Linked DNA regions of Tamandua tetradactyla. The protein of the gene in region 1 interacts with the protein of each later gene in a pairwise test. Links are inferred from orthologs where the notes say so. Each region holds a gene or a part of one and is shown in the gene's direction. Other genes may lie near its edges.

Region 1 (7,246 bases):
TGGGTTGCAAAGATTGTAAAATACCCCAGGACAGCACGGACACTGGAGTCAGCTGTCCCAGGTTCAAATCTCAAATCTGCCTCAGACAAAGTGGATGGCCTAGTGTGAGCCTGTCACCTTCACCTTCACTCTTTTCTACAATGGAGGCAACAGCACCTGTCTCATGGCCCCTTAGGTGCCTACCTACCCCAGGGCCTTTGCACTTACTGTTTGCTCTGTCTCCCCCTCATTCCTTCTCTTCCTTAATATCTTTTTTTTTTTTTTAAATTTTTTTATTAATCAAAAAAAAGAAAAGAAATTAACACAACATTTAGAAATCATTCCATTCTACACATGCACTCAGTAATTCTTAGTATCATCACATAGATGTATGATCATCATTTCTTAGTACATTTGCATTGATTTAGGAAAAGAACTAGCAAAACAGCAGAAAAAGATATAGAATGTTAATATAGAGAAGAGAATTAAAATAATAATACTAATAATATATATATATATAAAAAGGAAAAAGAAAAAAACAAAAACAAAAGATACAAACACACAAACAAACAAACAAAAAACCATATTTCAGGTGCAGCTTCATTCAGTGTTCCAACCTAGTTACATTACACTTAGGTATTATTGTGCTGTCCATTTTTGAGTTTTTGTATCTAGTCCTGTTGCACAGTCTGTATCCCTTCAGCTCCAATTACCCATTATCTTACCCTGTTTCTAACTCCTGCTGGTCTCTGTTACCAATGATATAGTCCAAGCTGATTCTCGAATGTCGGTTCACATCAGTGGGACCATACAGTATCCGTCCTTTAGTTTTTGGCTAGACTCACTCAGCATAATGTTCTCTAGGTCCATCCATGTTATCACATGCCTCATAAGTTTAGTCTGTCTCAAAGCTGCACAATATTCCATCGTAGGTATACGCCACAGTTTGTTTAGCCACTCGTCTGTTGATGGGCATTTCGGCTGTTTCCATCTCTTTGAAGTTGTAGATAATGCTGCTATAAACACTGGTGTGCAAATGTCCGTCTGTGTCTTTGCCCTTAAGTCCTTTGAGTAGATACCTAGCAGTGGTATTGCTGGGTCGTAATCCATTCTGCCATTCTATGTCTTTTGATTGGGAAATTCAGTCCATTAACTTTTAGTGTTATTACTGTTTGGATAATATTTTCCTCTACCATTTTGGCTTTTGTATTATATATATCATATCTGATTTTCCTTCTTTCTACACTTTACTCCATACCTCTCTCTTCTGTCTTTTCGTATCTGACTCTAGTGCTCCCTTTAGTATTTCTTGCAGAGCTGGTCTCTTGGTCACAAATTCTCTCAGTGACTTTTTGTCTATAAATGTTTTAATTTCTCCTTCATTTTTGAAGGACAATTTTGCTGGATATAGGAGTCTTGGTTGGCAGTTTTTCTCTTTTAGTGATTTAAATATATCATCCCACTGTCTTCTAGCTTCCATGGTTTCTGCTGAGAAATCTACACATAGTCTTATTGGGTTTCCCTTGTATGTGACAGATTGTTTTTCTCTTGCTGCTTTCAAGATCCTCTCTTTCTCTTTGACCTCTGACATTCTAACTAGTAAATGTCTTGGAGAACGCCTATTTGGGTCTATTCTCTTTGGGGTGCGCTGCACTTCTTGGATCTGTATATTTAGGTCTTTCATAAGAGTTGGGAAATTTTCAGTGATAATTTCTTCCATTAGTTTTTCTCCTCCTTTTCCCTTCTCTTCTCCTTCTGGGACACCCACAACACGTATATTTGTGCGCTTCATATTGTCATTCAGTTCCCTGATTCCCTGCTCAAGTTTTTCCATTCTTTTCCCTATAGTTTCCGTTTCTTTTTGGAATTCAGTTGTTCCATCCTCCAGTTCACTAATTGTAGCTTCTGTCTCTTTAGATCTACCATTGTAGGTATCCATTGTTTTTTCCATTTTTTCTTCTTTGTCCTTCACTCCCACAAGTTCTGTGATTTGTTTTTTCAGATTTTCTATTTCTTCTTTTTGTTCAGCCCATATCTTCTTCATGTCCTCCCTCAATTTATTGATTTGGTTTTTGAAGAGTTTTTCCATTTCTGTTCGTATATTCAGCATTAGTTGTCTCAGCTCCTGTATCTCATTTGAACTATTGGTTTGTTCCTTTGATTGGGCCATATCTTCAATTTTCTGAGCGTCATCCATTATTTTCTGCTGGTGTCTGGGCATTTGATCAGATCTCCCTGGGTGTGGGACCCAGCTGGTTGAAAGGTTTTTCTGTGGAATCTCTGGGCTCTGTTTTTCTTTTCCTGCCCAGTAGGTGGCGCTCGTGGCGGTCGTTTGTCTGCGGGGCAGTCGGCCCGGGAAACCGCTCGTGGAGGCGGGGGTCGCTGGCCGTGGCTTGGGGGAGTGCCGGTCCAAATTGCCCAGCTGGCCCGAGACGCCAAGCGTGACGGGAGGGCCCCGCTATCCAATGTTCCCAGTCAGACCGGGGAGCCACGTGCGTGGAGGGGACCCCAGACGCCAGCCACCCCAGCCGGGAAAACGTGCACCCCTCGGGTAGCTCACAGCAGTGGATTCTCCCTACCCGTTCAGCCGTTCCAGAATGGGGTACGCTGTCTTTTTTGGTCTCTGTCGTGACTCCGGGAGCTGTTTTGTATTGTTTCTGTTTCTTTAGTTGCTTTTCTGGAGGAGGAACTAAGACCCGCGCGTCTTACTAAGCCGCCATCTTCTCCGGAAGTCCTCTTCCTTAATATCTTAATTCAAAATTACCTTCCTGATGAGCTCTATTGAAGATTGCCTGCCTACCAGTCATGATAGAGAACACACTTCTCTTTTATTCAATGAAATAAATACATGATGCACAATCTGTCTTAAATGATCTTGATTCTTGATAATGGTCTGTCTACCCACTGAATTATACGATCTGTGAAGGCAGAGACGGGTCAGTCTCATCCCTGTTGAATCCCCAGTTTGGTTTTGGAACAGGGCCTGACACAGCATGCCACAAAATTAGGAATCTATGAGCAAACCCGGTCCTCCATTCCTCAACCCTTACAGCCATGGCATCTTCCAATCTGAGCCTTGGTGTCATGGTGTAGAAAATGAATTTGTTCACATATCCCTGGCAGGGGAGTCAGCAGGGTTAAAAGACACCCCAGATCCCTCCGGTAGGCCCTGGGAAGTTCTGAGATACAGTGAGCTGATCCCTGGGGTTCAGGAACCAGAGAAACAGAGGCGACTCCCTCTCCTCCCAGCCAGCCTCTGCCAGGGGGAGTTATTTTTTGACACTGGGTGAATTTAGATACCAAGACCCAAAAGGGATTCCCAAGAAGGGTGCTGCTCAGGGAGGCACCAGCAAAACCCTCCGTGGCCTGGGTTCAAGTCTTGCTGTGGGTCTCTTCTCCTCTCCGGAGACTCTGGTGTCTCCACTTTATTTACAGAGAACCTACAACACGTCACACGCTGTTCTAAGCACTTTACCTGCGTTAACTTAATCCTGACAGTAGCCCCGTGAGGAGAAGACTAGAACCAGCCTCTTCAATGGAGGAGGAAACTGAAGCAGGGTTTTGAGGCAGCGCGGTGTGGGGGGCGAGGTGGGGCTCATGCTAGGGTGCTTGTCCTTAACCACCAGGCAGCACTGCCTCTATCCAATGAATGCTGAGGACCCGGCTGTGAAGTGCAGGCCACTCCTGGAGCCTCCAATGGTTCTCGTGAGCTCGGAATCGGCTCCCAGTGTCAGCCCTTAAACCTGCGAGTCTTTGCAAAGCTCCTGCATTGCTTTCCCATAGCAGGGCCTCAGACTGCAAATCAGTAGAATGGGCACAACGGGAAGTTCTGCCCAGGGTTCTCATAAAGGTTTCACGAGGCCAGGGCGGGACTGTCTTGTCTGCTCTCTCTCTCCTCAGCACCATCCTGGAAGCGAAGGGTGTTCTTCCCATTTCACAGATGGAGAAACAGAGGCTCAGAAAAGCAAAGTGGTTTTTCCAAGATGATAGGGAGAGGCCGTGCCTGGTCTCCGCGCTCGGCCTTAGCCGGCCCCACCTTGGGGCTACCGGGGGCAGAGGGCGGCCCGGAGGGGGCGGGGCCGGGGCGGTGACCTCGCGGGCGGGGCGCGGGGGATGGTGCAATCCCCGGCCCGCGGGCGTCAGGCGGCGCTGATTAGCTCAGGTTTACATCACCCGGCGGGCGAGCCGGAGTCCCTTGCCGGCCGCTCGCCGGACACACGCAGCGCGAGCGGCGGCGGCTCAGCAGGTGTCCGGCTGCTCGGGACCCCGGTCCGAGCGCGATCGGGACGGGAGTTCGGCCGCAGCGGAGCGGCGACCGGTCCGCCTGGGAGTGCCTGGCGGCCCTGAGCTCGGGCGGTGCCAGGTCGCGAGGGGAAGGTAGCCTGCGGGGGCCGAGGAGTGGACCTGGGCCTGGCAGGTTGGGGGCTGGAGGCGGGCGTAGGGCACGGGACTTGTGGGCGTCCGAGGGTGGCTGCGCGTTCACCCACACGCGCGCGCACACATACACACACACACACACACATACACGACTTTTAACCAACCCAAACTCCGCCGTCCTCGGGACTGCCTAGGTTGAGTGTTCCCGCCGGGTCTTAGGTGACAGGTCCCGCAGGGCGTGGGGTCGCCGGAGTGTGGCCGAGTCCGGTTGGGGCGAGTGTGCACACCTGCGGGGAGTGGCACCTGTGCCTGCGGGAGAGGGGAGGAGAGCCCCAAGGAGATAGATCTGGGTCACATCCTGGAGAGGTGTGTGGAGATGTCTGTCTTTTCCGTGAAAGTGGAGTGGGGGGGTTGTGCTGTTTTGTGGGGGAGACCTGTGTGTGAGGGGCCTGTGGGGCTGGGGGTTAGGGGACTGGGAGTGGAGTCCGTGTAGCTGTGGATGTGTGTTTGTGCCGAAGGGGATGTGAGAGCGTGTCTCTGTGGATGATAGGATCTGGGGAGGGGGCTGGGCAGCTCGGGGCAGGTGTCGGCTGTGCGGGGGGGGGGGGGGGCATGGCTGGACCAGGGCAGTGGGACGGAGCAGGCGGTGCAGGGCTCTAGGTGCCGGTGCAGGGCTCTAGGTGCCGGTGCAGGGCGCCAGGTGCCGGTGCAGGCGGGTGGGACAAGCGCGCGGTGCCGGAGGTGAGCGCCCACCTGGCGGGGTGGCTGAGGGCTTTGCAGGTTGGACTGTGCGCGTGGGTGTTTTGTTCCTATAGACCGTGTGTGCTGTGTCCGCAGATTCCGGGGTGTGCGGGGGCGAGGGCGGAGGTCCTCCCCTTCTCCAGGCGCTGGGGCCCAACCCCTCTGCCTCACCCCCTCCCGGTCCCGTGAGCACCCCTCGGTTTCCGCTGACCTTTCTGCCCCCAGACACCCGCCGCCAGCAGCTTCCGCTCCCACGGGGGAATCCGGGCTGCGGAAGGCTGGTCAGGGCCCCCAGCTGGCGCGGCCCCGCTGTTGGTCGGTGCGTGTGGGCGTGTTGGTGTGGGTAACCGATGTGATCATTCCGAGACGAGCGCTGTGTGGGCTTGGCCGTGGAGGGTGAGGGGTGTGTCATGGAGGGTGAGGGGTGTGTCATGTAACTGTGTGTGAGCCCCACCCTGCTTTGAGTGTGTCTCAGACTACTTGAAGGAAGTGTGTTTCTGAGGGGTGCAGGTACCGCTGTCAGCCTCGGGTGTGTGTGTGAGTGTGTGTCATGGGTGTGATTCCGCCTTCCTCCCTGCCAGGATATTAAGGATATTAGGATATTAGGGATTCTCAGAACAGCCCTGTGAAATAAGGCTTGTCATCGCAGCCTCATCCCTGGGGAGATTTCTAAGACTTCCCAGAGGAGCACTGACACACCTTCAGCTATAAATAAGGGCGATAATAACAGAACTGCAATACTGATCATTTCCAGACACCTACCCGCGGCAGGGTGGTGCTGAGCTTTATTTGCATTTCCATCCCAGGTACCCCAAATCCTGTGGCCTTTGCATGACATTCCCATTTGCAGATGAAGGAACTGAGGCTCAGGAAGACTGAGGAACTTGCCCAGCACTACCCAGCCAGGAAGGGGCCAAGCCAGGATTAGAACTCAGAAATATCTCACTCCAGCCGCCCCCTTTTGCATTCGTTTTTAGAGGACACTGTGACCTTTCCTTGGATGCAGGGCTCCTCCCTCCCAAGGCAGCCTGTGGATTTGGGAGCAGCGTGATTGGAGAGGTGAGCCTCAGGCTGACAGCTGACTCTGAGTGGTGTCTCCCCATTAATCCTGCCCTGGCTGTTGGGAAGGTCTTTAACAGGACTGAAAACTGTGTCCTTCTAGACCCTCATACCTGGGCCTCCTTTTCCTCATCTGGGGTCTGAATAGGTGGGCAGATGGGTCTGGAAGGAACCTTTCCTGACATGCCCTCGCATTGCCCTCCTCCAGCGACATGTACAATTACACAGCTGGATCCATGGCAGTTTCCTCCACAGTTGAATGGGGCCTTAGAGAGACACTCTCTGCCTTGCCCCATTTCTCCGGTAATGGTAAACTGGAACACTCAGTTGTCTGTCTGGTAGACTAACTCTGCATGTGGACTCTGAGATTCTGCTAGCCCTTGGACCATCAGGACAAAGCTGTAAAAAAAAAAAATCACATTGGAAAAAAGAAATACACTCCCTGTTTTGAAATACCTAAGCAATAACTGAAGGCAGCATCTTTATTTTAAATTTTGAAATGGAGAATTCCTTTGCCTTGCTTCCAAATCCTTTCCTCTCCAGGAGCCACTCTGGCTAGTTTAGGCTGGATCTTTCCAGACATTTTTAAATGAATTTACACAAACACAAATATATTGGAAAGTCCTCCAGGATGAACTGTTTAGTGGAAAAAAAAAAATAGTGGAGAGATGGGCTTGGTGATAGGTGAGAGGGAGGGAGAGAGATTGCCCTGCATCTGTTAAGTTTTGTAGTGCGAGCATCTATTATCTATGGAGAAGAGGAGGAAGGAAGGAAGGATGAGGAATGAATGAAGGATGTACTAGACGCACACGTGAATGTGTGCACTGGAATGCACAAATCAAGTGAACAAAGCAAGCTGCTGAATGATACAAGCAAGATGATCCAATTTATTGTTTTGTCTTACTGAGGATATATGTTATACCGTTGGGGTTTTTCTTACATAAATGGAACAATATATAATCTTTTTTTAACATAAGAGCATTGTCTGCACATAGTTCTGTTTTGCCTTTTTCACTTAATATATTTTGAAGATTGGTCCACATTATCCAGAGACCATCCCAGTCCCTTTTCAGAGCTGCATAATATTCCA
Region 2 (7,335 bases), on another chromosome or scaffold:
AAGGCACAACCTAACTGTGCTCTAAGAGCTGGGACTGCTCCTGTTGAGGGGCACGTGGCAGAAGTGAGGGGAGAAAGAGGGCTCAGGACTCTGAGCTGCTGGGCCACGTGGCAAGCCTGAACTCTGGACACCCGGCCCCACACTGCCCTTTCCCCAACTGCACTGGCCATGGCCTTACTACCCTTGTTTGCAGGACATAACCTCCAACCCCTGCCCTCCTGGCCTACGTGACCAGACACCAGTCCTGATGCTTCTCAGGGCCACAGTGTAGAATGTCCCAGCTTCTGTGGACAAGCAGTTCCTTCTAAATATGGGCAACAATTCTGGGAATGAGGGGATCCCATCCTTGTCTTCTAAGTACCCACAAACAGTCACATATACGGACACCTGCCTGCGAGGCAGTGATGAAAGCAGAACAAAGTGTGGCGTGAACAGGGGAGGGAAAGGGAAGAGAAACTAACCCAGATAGACCCTCAGTTTCCATTAGGGACTGGGCTTCACCTGCATCACTTCACTTGGGCCTCCTAGCACCCTGAGCCTCAGAGAGAAAAAACTATGCTCGCAGAGTGTTTCCCACACGCGAGGCCCTACTCTAGGAAGTTTATGAACATTCATCTGTTTAATCCTCAAAACAACCCTATGAGGTGGGTCTTCTCATTCCCGTTACCAGTGAGGAACCCAAGGCACAGAGAGATGCTGCCATTTGCCAAAGGTCATGGAGCAAGTGTGACAAGTGGGGCTTTGTACCCAGCAGGCCATCTCTGTAGCGCAAGCTAAGCCCCAGGCAGCACGCAGAGGGCTCTGACAGGCTGAGGACTGATAGTAAGTGATGAGTTGCCAGAATAGGACCCCGAGTCCATCTGATGCCAAATGTAGTACCTCTTTTCTTATGCCAGGTGAGGCCTTGATTGAGAAACCACTGAGGGTTGCTGTAATAGCACAGGTGAGGAGGCCTTCTCTGGGGCAGTGGGATGGTGAGGGGAAGGTCCATGAGAGATATTTTGGAGGTAGAATCAATAGAATTTTTGGCAATTGTGAGCAGAGCCAACCTGAGGTGAAAGTCCAAGCTTGGTGGCCCCAAGAGGCTACACCATGGACCAAGGAATGGGGTTCCCAGGGCTGGTGCTGCAGGGAAGTGTTGTGTAAGTTCGCGCTCTGAAGAGCAGTGCAATTTTGCACAACCTCCTCTGCCTCTTGTGGCCTCAGTCTTGGCTCCCCAAGACAAGTGGATTGGGCTCTGCCCTTGAGGCCCCTTCTTGGCACTGGGCCTCAGATTCTCAAAGTTCTGCCCAGACAGCTGATTTCCCTCCCTCCACACCCTCCACCCGTGCAGGGCCAGAGCCCTCCATGATACAGGGCTCTGCTAAAAAGGAGCCGTTGCCAGGTGCGCCAGGCCCCCAGGGGATCCCCCCTTTCCCCCTCCCCATCAAAGAGCAAGGGCTGATGCAACCCGCCTGCAATCGCCGTCTCACTTCCCCAGCCTGGCCCCTCCGCACCGAAAAAGAGTCCTCAGCAGCCCCACCCATGCTTCCAACTCCAATCTCAGGAGTTGAAGGAGCTGGGGCACCTGCACCCTGAAAGGCTGTGGGAGACTGGGGGAGGCTGAGGCATTTGAGTCCTGGAGAGGCCAGAACCTGGGTCAGGCATGGATATGGGACAAGGCACAGGGTGCCAGCTGCAGATGACTGCCTGTGAACTAGAATCTATTGGCAGGCCTGGGCAGCCCAGAGCACCCAGCACCCACTTGGCAAAACCCAGTGATGCTGCCTAGGTGGGCCAGTCTGTGCCAGGGCTGAATTAGGTAGGCTCCAACAGCCAGAGTGAAAAGGGCATGGGGGCTAGGACCAAGAAGATGACTTTTCAGACAGTACATCACATACAATCAGCAATATGATTCCCAAACCGAGCTAGTTTCTTTTCAGTTAGTAAAGATACCCTCCCTGGCCACCTGCTCAAAACCCCACAATGTCAGTTTAACCATGAGACAAACTCATACTGAGGGACATTCCCTAAAATACCCAAAGGCCAGGACTGTTCAAGAGTACATGAGAACATTTTCTATCTTTGCAATTTTTCTGTAAATCTTAAAATTATTCTAAAGTAAAAAGTTTATCTAAAAAATAATCTATGACCCTACTCAGAAGACAATTCTGGGAGGTTACTGTAGGAAAGGGACAGAGGGAGGAAACAGATTCTGCTAGGGAAGGGGCCAGATGGCAGGAGAAGAGTGAAACTAGTGTCTAGGAGCCAGATCCTGCCAGCAGCAGCAGGTTTCCCAGTAAGGGTGGCAGCCTCATCAATCTGGTGGTCTGGGCGGCACCTCCTCACTGACCGCAGTGAGTCCAACTGTCTAGCATTAACCCCTACCACCTGCTGTCACTGAGTTATAGTGAGAAGTGGAAGTTTGTCCTTAAGCCTCCAGAAACTGGTGAAGGGCTAGTTTTGAAACTTTAACTCCTGCAACTGGAGCTTCAACAATCCTAACCACCACCCCTAACAGTGCCAACCAGCAGCCAGGCACAAGTCCAAATGTTTGACATGGACTAACTTACTTAATCCTCATGACAGCCCTAAGAGATGGGTACTATTACTGGGCACAGAGTAAACAGAGGCACAGGGAAATAAGTGTAACTGCCCAGGTCACACAGCTAGTGAGTGGAGCACAGCCAGCTGTGCACCCAGATCACCTGGTGTCAGAGCCTGTGCTGATAACCACTACCGTACCCTGTCTAGGTCATAATGTAGCTCCAAAGGGCCCAGCTATGGGGCAAGTGCTCAGTACTGGCCCAGTGGATGGACACCAAGAGGGTAAGGGGTCAGATCCAAGAAGGACTTCCCACATGTAACAATGAAGGAAGAGAGGGGATTTCTTAACTCCCAGACACTCTCAAAATCAAAGTTCCCACACATTTTTTGGGCCTCGATTCAGTGTCTTCACTGTCCCAGGTGGGATGAGGGTTGGGGGTGCAGGTGTGGTTCAGTGGTAGAATGTCTGTTTGCCTGCCATGCAGAAGACCTGGTTCGATTCCTAACCCATGTACCCACAAATAGAAGGGATGAGGGCTGAACTCCAAGTGAAACATTCTGATGTGGATGGATGCAAGGTGGGAAAGAGGGTTTCTGCAGCAGAGGAAAGATCTACATCCAACCAGGGCTGGTGGAGGGTCCAATGTATGGGGGTGGGGGAAGAATAGTTAGGAGGCTGCTTTCTTTCACTAAATGGAATCATAAATCTCCCCATTTTTTGGCAGGGTTGAGTTCCTCACACAGTGAGTGGCAGCTTAGGCAAAGGACAATTTGAAACAAAGTTTGGGTGAGAGGCAGAAGCAGAGAATAACACACGCGGTGGAGTCAGAGTATAGAGGACAAGGACTGAGGGACTGTGGATGTTGGCAGGTGGGCAGAGGTGAACAGAGGGTGGAAAAAGGATGAAGTGGGGGTAACAATGCCAAAATCCCTGCACGGGGGTGGGCTGAACACCCACCCTTTGGAATGGGGGAGGGTGGTGATAGCTGGAAATTACATAAGAGGAACCTACCAGCAAATCTTGGTCAAGTATCTGGGGCTCTGCCAGGAGGGGAAGACAACGTGATACTGAGTCCCAACGTTCCTATTAATAAGAAGACAGGGTTACCAGATGAGTACAAGCTGGGCTGTGCTTCATGGACACTGTCATTTTAATTCTCAAACAACCCCACCAAATAGAGGGTATAATTCTCATTTTATAGATAGCGACAAGAGGTCCACAGACCTTATTTGCTCAAGATCACCAGGCAGGTGATTCGAAAAGAGCACCGTCTGACCCCGGGGTCCCGCAGAAGTAACCCACAAGGATCCTCACGGAGGCACGGGCAGAGACTCCGGTGCGGCTGGCCGGAAGTTCTTTCGTGAAGCAGGGGAAGGCGAGAGACACGTGAAGGCCTGAGGGAAGCTGAGGGGGATGGGGTCGGGCCCCAGACCCTGGGGTCAAAGGAAGGAGGAGAAAGGGGTCTGTGCTCCCGGGTCAGAATCCCTAGAGTCAGAGGAGGGAAGGGGTCGGAATCCCGGGTCAGACGGAAGAGAGGACCACAGCACCGCAGGGTTAGTGAGAGGAGGGCGCCAGGCACCCGAGTCAGGGAGAAGACTGGGCCCCAGAGTGAGAGGAGAAAAGGGCCCAAACTCCGGGTCACAGAGACGAGGGGGCCGGGCCCGCCTCCCTGCCAGGGCCCGTCGGGGCCCGCAGGGGCGGAGCGCGGAAGGATCCGGCAGAGCCGTGCTGCGCCACCCCCGCTATATCTGTCCCGGGTCCCCGGGGCCGCCTCATTCCCTATCCTCGGATCACGGTCTCCCTTCACGCCAGCGCGACGCCACCACCCGCGCAGTCCCGGCCATGGCCCTGTAGCCGCGAATCCTCCCTGCCCCCCGGTCATCTCCGCGCTCACCGCGCCTGCGCCTTCCGCTCCCGCTTCTTTCTTCAGCCGAGGCTACCGCCGCCTCTCCTTGCCGCCGCCATGGAGTGAGTAACCGCTCGCCCCTCCCTCTCCAACCGCCCTTCCCGCCCTTTCACAGCGCGCGGCCTTCTCACCGGGGCCGGGGGGTGGGGAGCCGGGAGCGTGGACTCTAGGTCGCGCAGGCGCAGGAGGGAGAGGCCGCGGTCGGCGGCGCGCGGCCGAGCATGCGCACTCGGTCCGGGGTGGGGAAGGGCCCTTCCCGCGAGGGTGTTTGTGCCTGAGTCTGGCCCGTGGGCCGAGGCGCCTGCGCACTAGCCCTCAGAAAGGGTGGGTTTTATTTTTTTCGGAAACGATCCTGTCCGTGCGCGGCCGCTCATGCCCACCAGAGCCAGTATTCGCGTAGGGCGGAGGCTTGAGGGAGCGATCACGCGCTTTAGCTCTCGAGGAGGCAGGCGCGTGCGGAGGGGTATGGGGTAGGGAGCCGTTCTCTGCTCCCTCCTTCAACGTGTCCCTTCCACCTTGCGCGGGCGCACTGCCCAGCTTCCCTCTCCAAGCACCTGCTGGGCCTGGCATAGATTGACGGTGTGGGGGCGGGGTTTAGAGGCCACCCTCTAGGAGAGGGGGTGGGGCTAGGGCCACAGCAGTAGCGAGGGGCGGGGCTTGTGAAGCCTATTGTGAGATGAGGCGGGATCCACAGAGAATTGTCAGGGAGGGGTGGAACTAAAGTAGATGGAGAGGAGCAGGACTTTGGGGGCATCGTGGGAGTCACCGCACAGTTTAAAGTAATGACGGTGATAATTCAGTGGAGAACACTGATGAAGAGGCAAAGCATGGGAGAATTCCCCTGGGAACTGATTTTAGAAGGAATGGATTTCGAGAGGGGGTGGGATCTAAAGGAAATAATTTAGGGACAGGGTGTGGCTGGAAGGAAATTCCCCTGGGATTGGATTTTTTTTTTTTTTTATTAAAGAGGAGTATCATGGGGTGAATGGGAAAGGTGTAAGGAAATTCCGCTGGGAGGACACTACATTCTCTATTAGAAGAAGGGGTGGAGCTTGGGAGAAAAGTAGGCTGGGCCCAAGGACAATTCCCTTGGGAGTAGGTGGGGCTCTAAGATTGTTGGGAAAAAAGAGCAGGTTTGGAATTCTGAGAGGAGGGTCTCCGTGGCAATGGGGGTGTAGCTTAGGGGCGGTCCTGTGCCTTTGCCCAGTGGGTGGAGCTGGCCTCTGACCCCACCCCTTTTGCTTCCCACCTGCAGATCCTCTACTTTGGCCTTGCTGCCTGTCTCCGCCCATCCGAGCATCCTCTTGAGCCTCCTCCCAGCAGTTGGTGCTGCAACCTCCCTTGCCATTGGTGCCCGGCGCCTGTGCTGCAGCCATGTCACTCCTGGCGACCCTGGGTCTGGAGCTGGACAGGGCCCTGCTCCCAGCTAGCGGGCTGGGCTGGCTCGTAGACTATGGGAAACTCCCCCTGGCCCCTGCCCCCCTGGGCCCCTATGAGGTCCTTGGGGGAGCCCTGGAGGGCGGGATTCCAGGGGGGGGAGAGCCCCTGACAGGTAAGGATAGATGAAGAGTGGAGGTAGGGTGAGATGGGGAGGTGGGGGACAAAGGGGAAGGAAGAACTCATTCATTCATTCACTCATTCATTCAGTAAATATTTATTGAGTACCTACAATGTGCCAGGCACTGTTTTAGGTGCTGAGTATACAGCTGGGAAGAAAGACTGGCGTGATCCCTGCCTTTCTGGAGCTCACATTCTAGTGGAGACAGACAAGAGACAAGTTAAATGGGGTGGGGTTTGGGGCACCCATGGTGAGACGGCTAAGTGGGCCCTTAGCAGCTAAGCTAGAACATGACAAAGGGGACCTAGTTTAGCCAGGAAGGCTTCTCCAAGTAGATAATATTTAGGCTGAGGCCTAAAGGATGGGAAGGAATGAACCATGAAAAGCCCAAGGGAAGAGCATTTCAGGTGGAAGAAAGAGAGTATGCAGAGTCCTTGAGGCAGCAGTTATTTTATGCATTACTGTATCCCAAACACTTGGCACATAGTGGGTTTTCAATAATTAATGAACTAAAGATGAAATAAGGTGCGTGTGTGATGCATTTCACTTTGTATTTGAAGAACAAGCTAGAGAGAGAGTGAATCAGAAAAACCACAGATGTAATCAATAAAGAAGATGTTGGAATGGTTGAAGAAATGCTTGGTCCACTAGTTGGTTGGATGGTTGACTGGTTGGGTAGTTGGGTGGATGGCTGAATGGCTCTTTGATGGATAAGTTGATTGTTTCCTTAGGTGGTTGATGAATTGGCTGACTTGTTCCTTGGTTGGTTGGTTGACTGGTTGGTTGGTTGGTTGGTTGGAAGGGTTGACTGGTTCACTGCTTGGTTGATTAGTTGGTTGCTTGGTTGGTTGGAAGGGTTGACTGGTTCACTGCTTGGTTGATTAGTTGGTTGCTTGGTTGGTTGGAAGGGTTGACTGGTTCACTGCTTGGTTGATTAGTTGGTTGCTTGGTTGGTTGGAAGGGGTGACTGGTTCACTGCTTGGTTGATTAGTTGGTTGCTTGGTTCATTGGTTCCTTGGCAGGTTTGTTGGTTTACTGACTGGTTTGAGGATTCATTGATTGGTTTGTTGAGTGGTTAGCCGTTTTACTGATGAATGGGGCCTGAATGAGGCAGAGATGAGTGAGCACCAATTGAATGGAGGCCCAGGAACTCAGCGAATTTTTATGTCCCCCCTCTAATCCCCTAGGTGACGGCTTCTCAGACTGGATGACTGAACGGGTTGACTTTACAGCCCTCCTCCCTCTGGAGCCCCCCCTCCCCCCAGGCACCCTTGCCCCACCTTCCCCGCCCCCACCTGACCTGGAAGCCATGGCCACTCTCCTCAAGAAGGAGCTAGAACAGAT

What was found.
Region 2: the proteins of TRIB3 (region 1) and ATF5 interact in a two-hybrid assay, tested with the Homo sapiens proteins (2 studies listed by BioGRID and IntAct). The link is inferred for Tamandua tetradactyla from reciprocal best matches to the Homo sapiens genes TRIB3 and ATF5.

Annotation. Positions count from the first base shown.
Region 1 is NC_135327.1:22,256,322-22,263,567, forward strand, and holds the start of TRIB3 (tribbles homolog 3), read left to right. Parts: upstream 1-4,169; 5' UTR 4,170-4,356; intron 4,357-7,246. UniProt on the Homo sapiens protein: Inactive protein kinase which acts as a regulator of the integrated stress response (ISR), a process for adaptation to various stress. Inhibits the transcriptional activity of DDIT3/CHOP and is involved in DDIT3/CHOP-dependent cell death during ER stress.
Region 2 is NC_135342.1:11,236,793-11,244,127, reverse strand, and holds the start of ATF5 (cyclic AMP-dependent transcription factor ATF-5), read left to right. Parts: upstream 1-4,234; 5' UTR 4,235-4,495; exon of another isoform or gene 4,496-4,523; intron 4,524-4,752; exon of another isoform or gene 4,753-4,896; intron 4,897-5,688; 5' UTR 5,689-5,807; coding exon 5,808-5,985; intron 5,986-7,178; coding exon 7,179-7,335.